Linked DNA regions of Sus scrofa. The main gene of each other region encodes a partner of the protein of the gene in region 2 in a complex. Links are inferred from orthologs where the notes say so. Each region holds a gene or a part of one and is shown on either strand. Other genes may lie near its edges.

What was found.
Region 1: TMEM67 (region 2) and TMEM237 share a complex: the UniProt entries of both Homo sapiens proteins name them as parts of the tectonic-like complex. The link is inferred for Sus scrofa from reciprocal best matches to the Homo sapiens genes TMEM67 and TMEM237.

The regions. Positions count from the first base shown.
Region 1 is NC_010457.5:105,272,750-105,277,075, reverse strand, and holds the start of TMEM237 (transmembrane protein 237), read left to right. Parts: upstream 1-1,268; 5' UTR 1,269-1,353; coding exon 1,354-1,371; intron 1,372-2,621; coding exon 2,622-2,653; intron 2,654-3,252; coding exon 3,253-3,263; intron 3,264-4,326. UniProt on the Homo sapiens protein: Component of the transition zone in primary cilia. Required for ciliogenesis.
Region 2 is NC_010446.5:42,906,920-42,910,716, forward strand, and holds part of TMEM67 (meckelin), read right to left. Parts: intron 2,018-3,797; coding exon 1,861-2,017; intron 1,007-1,860; coding exon 883-1,006; intron 1-882. UniProt on the Homo sapiens protein: Required for ciliary structure and function. Part of the tectonic-like complex which is required for tissue-specific ciliogenesis and may regulate ciliary membrane composition.

The DNA of each region.
Region 1 (4,326 bases), on a different chromosome or scaffold from region 2:
ATGCTTAAATTAGGAAAGAGGAATGGATTTCGGTGGTAGAGACCAATATCTGAGACACCTCCCCCCCCCCCCATGAGGACGTTATTCCACGAAGGCTGTCTTCCAGCAGCTCTTCCTACTCCTGTATGTCATATCCACACCATCCCCTTACTCCTTCTTAACCTTAAACTTCAAAATATCTGTAGTTTTCCATGTGAAATGAATACTTATTATTTTTCTAAAATGTCTAAACAAAATGAAGAAAATTAAGCCATTATTAACACTTTGGTGAGCCTAGATTTGATTTTATGCTGTGCTTCTTTGGATGGAGGGTAAGCAATGGAAGAAAATCCGAGAATCGCCTGCGTCAACACACACACTCAAACCCCAAGCTAAACTTTGGGCTTGGTGGTTAAATGCGTCTCTGACACCAGGGATTGCGAAGCTTGGCCGCGCGGAGGCGGGCGGAGACCTGGGGAGGCGCCCTAGTCTGGCGCCACCAAGCCCCCGCCTCCCGCAAGTCCGAGAGACCTCTGCATCGCGGGGAAGCAGCCTCGGGCCCGCGGCAGTTGCGCCGAGGCAGCCCGGCGGGCACCAAGCCATGAGGGCCGACTCCGGGCTCGGGGTGGAGGAGGACCACCCGGTGAGCGGTTTAGGGCCCGTCGGCCTCTGCTCCACCCGGGCAGCTACCTCTGGGGTGAGGCGGACGGGATCGAAAGGGGAGAGCCCAGCTCCAGGAGCTCGCGCAGCAGCCCCTTCGGCGCTCACAGGATAGGCTTGGGGTTGGGGTTGGGGTTGGGGGCTGGAAATTCGTCCCAAGGCCGGACCCGAACTCCAAGAATCGGGTGAGGGGGCAGGCGTGAATTTTCCGGGGGCCTGGGTGCGCACGTTGCCATGACGACGCCTCACTTCTCAGCGGCCCCAGCCCTTGCGAGTTTCGGGGGCAGTCGACGAGGCCCTCCTTATTCACGCCCCTCGGAGGGCATTTAGCCGCCCGGGAATGAGATCGCCGTTTGCCAGTGGGGAACTTTCAGTCCTGGTCTTCTCTTACATTCCTGGAACAAATGTCCGCAACCACTTGGGAAATCATGGGGAAAACCGTGATTGCTACCCCGCGCCCGCTGGAGCCTCTCCTCCAGGGCACTTCAGCCCGGACTCCGATGCCCCCTTTAACGCCGGAGTAGACAGAAAAGGCCAGACAGGGTCCCCCACCCCGCTCCCCTTCCTTCCCATCTTGCTGGGAGGAGGCTGTGGGTCCTAGCGGCCTGGACAGCGCAGCCCGATGACGCATTGCGCCTGCGCGGGAGCGGGCCGGGCGGCGGTGAACCCTCTCCCGGGAGCCCACGGCCGCGGGGCATCCCGGATTTAGACAGGATGGGGAAGAAGCAAGTGGTAAGCCAGCTTTAGTTCCTTTTGAGTTTACTTGAGCCACCCACCTTTTGAGGAGCGTAGAGACTGACTTTCTGGATAGATGACACCTCATTTTTGCGGGACTTTTGAAATGTGGAGTTACCCTGTGAACTGAGCCCTTGGTTAGAACGCGGTCCTTAGCATCTTGAGAACAATAGCGCTTTCATGTGACTCTCTTTTTTTCCAGTTGAATTTTAACTGCTGGATAGTGGTAAGACCTTGTCCTAGTGTAGTAGCATTTGTATTAATACATCTTTTGAATGAATGGATAGCGAAATGGGACAATTGTGGAACAAACAATCGGAGTGTTTAAAATTTAACCCTTTTTAGTCAGTATCCTCTGCAAGCAGCTTGAGATACTTGCAACATTAAACTGCATTTTAGACATTTCTGTTGGTATTTTATTTTGAAAAATTCCAGAATGCCACTTAACTGTATTTTTTCTGAACTGCAAACACTTTTCTTTTTCATGTAAAGAAGTTTTTGTAAGTTTTTTTTTTTTTAATGCTTTCTGCCCTAAAATGTGTTCTTTACGCTGTGTTCAGAGAATTTTTTTTTTTTTTAATGTGTTACTCTGTGTCTTAAAAACCTCCATCGGTTTCCTATGGAATTAAAATAGAATCTAAGCTCCTTCCCTTGGTCTTCCTAATTAATCTGCCCATGCTTGGATAACTGCTTTTTCTTTACTGGCTTTCTTTTATCTGGAACTATTTAAGCCCAGTCTCCCCTAAAAGCCTTGTATTTGCTCCCTTTGGTTCCTTTCTTATTCAAATCTCAGCTGTAATATCTCAGAGAGACTTTCCCTAACTAAAGTAATACATATGATCATACACATTACTGTAATAACGTGCATGGTTTTATATATATTTATATATGCATATATATGTATACATACTGATATATGTGTGTATAAATATATTTAATGTTATCTTCTAATACTTAACCACTAGAATGTAATTCCAAAAAAGCAGGCATTTCTCTGTTTTGTTCATTAATGTATCCCTAATGCTTAGAACAGGCCCTGGCCTGTAGATAGTAAGGAATATAGGAAGGAAGGAATTTTTGTAAGAAATTTAGAAATGATAGATCAAATTTAAAATTGCCCATTTGATCCTCATCAGTGCCTCCTGGGCATTAACTGATGAACAGGGCTATCAAAAATGTGAGGTACATGAAGTAAAGATGTTCTAAGGCTTTACTTACAAGCCGTTTTCTTTTTCTGTTCCCCATAGCGTCCTCCACGGGCCCTTCCACCTGTGCCAAGGTAAAAGTAATTTGTAGTAATTTTATTATTGAATTTTAAAAACGTAAAATCAATAAAGTGAAACATATTGAGACTATACCATTACATAATTATGATAATTCAGAAAAGGCTTCCTAAAAATTTAAAGGTGGAAAATACTTGAATTATTGAAATAACAGTTATAATTAAACCTTTTGCATCAAAGATTGAATGTCCACATGTTAGGATAATGGATTCATTCGGAATGTTTTAGTGTCTTGTTTATCAGACTTCTGATCCTCTTTTGTTTGCTAGAATAGTTTCCTCAGAGTTTAAGCCGATTTTAGTCAGTGACAAAATAAGAGTTCTTAATCTGTTCAATCCACTTTATTATTAGACTGAAGGGAGTATGTATATGTAGGTTCAGAAAATATTGGGGTTATTTCGTTAGCCTTATTAAACAGCTTATTATAAATAATAAGCTAGTTTGTAAACTAGCTGAGTTTGTGTGGAAGTTAATTTTATTTTAAATTTGTAATGATTTAAGACAGTTTTCAATATGACCATGTAATAGATTTCTAATTAATAGAGTTTTTCTTTTTGTCTTTGTCCTGATTAAATTTGGTTGGTGTCATGTAAAGTGCTATTCAAGGTGAGTTAGTTCACTCAGTATAAAATTTTCTAAATACAGTATTTGATGTTTGTAAGTTAGTTTGATTTCTTAATTTCCTCTTAAAATTGAATCTGAATAGTATATATTGCTAAATCCTAGTAATCTTCTATGACTACCATTTAACTTTATTTATTTATTTTTGTATTTTTAGGGCCGCACCCAGAACATTTGGAGAGTCCCAGGCTAGGGGTCCAATCAGAGCTGTAGCCACTGGCCTATGCCACAGCCACAGCAACATAGGATCTGAGCTGCATCTGAGACCTACACCACAGCTCACGGCAACACCAGATCCTTAACCCACTAAGCGAGGCCAGGGATTGAACCTGTGTCCTCATGGATGCCAGTCGGGTTCGTTAACCCCTGAGCCACGACGGGAAATCCATGACTACCATTTTAAAATGATGATTGATATATAACAGTAGTTATATGGTCAATATTTGACCTTAAAAATAAAAAAGTATTCATCCCAGACTGGAGTCACCCAGAACATAACTGTTGGTTAAGCTGACAGTTCAATAATAGAGACTATATTTTCTTTCTTTCTTTTTTTTTTTTCATTTTTGGCCACCCTGTGGCGAATGGAGTTCCTGGGCCACGGATGATCAGATCTGAGCTGCAGTTTTGACTGAAGGGGCAGCTGTGGCAACTGTGGATCCTTAACCCCTTGTGCTAGGCCAGGGATCAAATCTGCGTCCCAGCACTCCCTAAACACTGCTGATCCCATTGTGTCACAGCAGGAAGTCCAGACTATATTTTCTTTTGTCTCATTTCATCAGAATAGACTGGGTTATGTCATAGTCGCCACCAAATCTCAGTGACTTAATATGTGGGGTTTTTCTGGTTAAAGCAAAGTCCGTTGCAGCAACAGTCTGGGATAGTTACCTTTCTCTACCTATTCACTAATGACGTAGTGATCCAGGCTACTGCCATGCTGTGGTTCTGCCATCTTAACATGAGGCCCCCTCAATTGCCACAGCAAGGGAAGGGAAAGCTGGATGGTTACTCACTGGGTCTTTCAGTGTTTTGGCCCCAAAATGACATA
Region 2 (3,797 bases):
AATATGTGTCATATCTACTACTATTTGTGGCACACAGTGGGATACATTTGCTGAATTCAATGCATTAGTAATGTACAGTTTATCAACTCAAAAAGGAAGGTGCCAAACACAGTGGCCAGCATGGTTTCACCAAGATCAAGTCAAGCCTGACAAGTCTCAATTTTGTCTTCACTACGGATACCAAATTAGCAGACCGAAGGAGTGCCAAAGACCGTACAGTGGGACTTCAGCAAGGTATATGAGAATGCTTCTGTAGTGACTATCTCATAAAATTATTATGAAAAACAAAATGAAAAGATAGGGGAAAAAACAGTATATGTTGAAGTGCCAGAAAGATGAGGGTGTTGATTTTCATGGGTATATTCCAGGTGCACATCATAAAATATCAGCGTGGGAAAAACAGTTAAGGCCTTAGAGATAGGAATCTCACACTGGAGGAGACAGGAGGGCTGCAGGCCACTACCCGAAAGCAGGGTCATCAGTAAAGTATCCCAGGAAGAGGGAGGTATTGAAAAATAACAGAACAGTAGCTGCTAAAGGAGAGGGAGCCAGAGGAGGCCTGCCTTTTGCAACCACCTGGCAGGCTCTTTCTAACACCCGTGTCAGCCCATTTATCTTCACCTTCCCCAAATTCTTGACCTATTCTAATTTAGCAGGCCTACAGTGGGGCCTAGAATGTGAATTTTGGCCAAACACCTTCAGCTTTTGTGACATAATCCTCACCTCTATTTGTGCATACTAATCTACATAGGCATCTAAAAACACGTTATTTATCATTCCAGTTGAGTTGCTGTTATTGTTTTCATCTGATAATTATGGATCAACACTTTCACTATGACATTTTCATATATGAAGCAAGCCTCATTTAGTGCAATTGTTTACCTTAGTGAGATTTGGGTAGCAACTCGAATTAATCGTGGCTGACTTCCTAAGTCATTTTCTCGTCCACTTAGTGCATCCACTAAGAAGATACGCCGAGTCAGGAGCCACTTGCCAGAGTTGCTGTCTTTTATCATTAAAAAAAAAGAAAAAAAATGGCATTTAAATAATATCTTCTACTGTTCAAGATGGCGCTCAAGGAGAAGTTTACTCCACAAATTTAAAACATGACATTAGTACACTTTGTTTTAGATGAGATGGTTGCAAAAATAGCTACTGATGCAAGAAATTCCTGGTCATGGCTTTCTCTACCTGTACCTGAATGTCTTCTAAGTGTCTGGACTTTTCATCAGTTTAGAAGTATTATCCCTGCAAATTTCCTGAGCCAATAGGATTTTATAACATGATGAACAAAAAAGAAACTAATTTGCCCAAAAATCAACTCAAGGACAGCTTGAAGAAGCCCTGATTTTACAGTTCTACTAATTTTTCCCAGGATACACTTTTAGCAATAATATAATTTCTTAATAAGCTTGACACAGTTAGCAAAAATTTCTGAATATACCAGCAACCTTACTGTTTTACTTTTGGGCATGCTATATAAAACCCTATAATTAGGGAGTTCCCGTTGTGGCTCAGTAGTTAACGAATCCGACTAGGAACCATGAGGTTGCGGGTTCGACCCCTGGCCTCACTCAGCGGGTTAAGGATCCAGTGTTGCCGTGAGCTGTGGTGTAGGTTGCAGACACAGCTCGGATCCCAATTAGACCCGATTAGACCCCTGGCCTGGGAACCTCCATACGCTGCTGGTGTGGCCTTAGAAAAGGCAAAAAGACAAAAAACAAACAAACAAACAAAAACCTTATAATCAGAGAGAATCTATGACCTTTCTTATAATCTGTAGTTTACTAAATTATTATCTTGGTAGACTTATTTATGGATTTCAGCTCAGAGAAAGAATGGTGTGGATGGATGTCTTACCTTGGTTCACAAATATTTTATTGTGCTGAAGATTTAAGTTTAACACAGGCACAGCCCAAATATATTGGTGTTGATTTTCATCAGTATATTCAATGTACACATCATAAAATGTAGGAGTGGGAAAGTCAGTTAAGATCTTAGAGATAGGAATCTCACACTGCAAAATAAAATAAAAAGAACCCAAATTAAAAATTAGAAATCATATGTATTATCTTTAAAGGTGTTTTTTAATTATAAAATGAAATACCTTTCAATTATCTTGTTTATGTGCATTTTCATGTGACTTTCAAAACACAAATACTATATACGACTCTTTCATAAGGATCCTACAACCCAGCTGGGGAGGGTATACATTCATTCTCAACAGTAAGAGTACTGCAGTGAAAAGGTAGGTTTAAAAACGCCTATCCTGTGAGGTAAGGTCCTTTTTCTCCTGATGCACACTGCTGTTTATGATTTGGCTCTCCTTCACAAAGCCAGGATTTCCCTCCAAAGCTTCCTGTCTATCTATGGTCCATTCAAACTGATCTATTTATAGTCTCTAAATATGCTATGCTCTCTGTCATTGCAAATGGTGTTTCCACCTGACGTTCTCTTCCCCACTATGCTCTCCTGGCAAACTCATATTCATTCTTTAAGTTCAAGTATCACTCACTCTGTAAAGCATCTCTTCATTTCCCCGGAACTACTAATGACCCCTCCTTTGGACCAAGAGGGTACCTTGTTCATACTCATAGAATAACACATCACATTCTTTGCAATTCTCAGTCTATATAGTTGCTTTCTCTATTAGGCTGTGAACTACTTGAAAGGTAACCGGGTTCAACGGAAAAAAAAGACATGGTTTTTAAGCCTAACAGAACATTTACTTGATGCAAGACTTTGAGTAAATTACCTAATCTTACTGAGCACCATTTGCCTATCTGAAAAAAAAAAATTAAGTGTACTTTATATAGTTATTTCATGGATCAGGTGAGATAACAATGATAAAATGCTGAGCACAAAGCGGCAGGCATCTTAACAAATGTTGATGCTCCTGGCTCAAGGTAGACATACAACATTTTTAAAAATAATATATAAATCATTTCAGATAATAATAAATTCATGTTCATGATAGAAAATTTAGAAAATATAGGAGAGTCCCTCTGTGGCCCAGCAGGTTAAAGATCTGGCAATGTCACTGTAGTAGTGACACGAGTGGCTGTGGCACAAGTTTGATCCCCAGCTCAGCCAAACAAAAACAAAAACACAAAAAGAAATTTTTTGGGGAAAAAAAAAACAACTGCTATCCCACCATCCAGAGATAAACTACTGTTATAAATGTTTATCTTCTTCCAATCTGTTTTCCATGGTAGTATTTTTCATTGTGGTTTTAACAAAACTGCGATCAGTTTTGTTCTATGTTGTGTGTATATGGATTTTATCAAGAAATATTTTTGTAGGAGTTCCCCTCATGGCTCAGAGGAAACAAATCTGACTAGCATCCATGAGGACGCAGGTTCAATCCCCGCCCTCGCTCAGTGGGTTAAGGATCCGGCATTGCGTAAACTGTGGTGAAGGTCACAGACATGGCTCGGATCTGGTACTGCCACAGCTGTGCTGTAGGCCAGTGGCTACAGCTCCGATTCAACCCCTAGCCTGGGAATCTCCATATGGCGCAGGTGCAGCCGTAAAAAGACAAAAGAAAACAAAAAAAAAGAAATATTTTTGTAGACCAGTGAATTTCCTTCAAACGTTTAATGGCTCATAATATACCTTTGTACCACACTGCAGTTTTAAAATGCATCACCAAAGGAAGGAAGGTCAGGGAGGGGGGGAGGAAAGTATGGAAGGAGAGGAAAGGAAGTTCTTTTATTTGTTACCGGAGGGAAGAGGGAAGAGGGAGTAATAACATTGATTGGTCACCAAAAATAAAATAATATTTTTACTTTATTCTA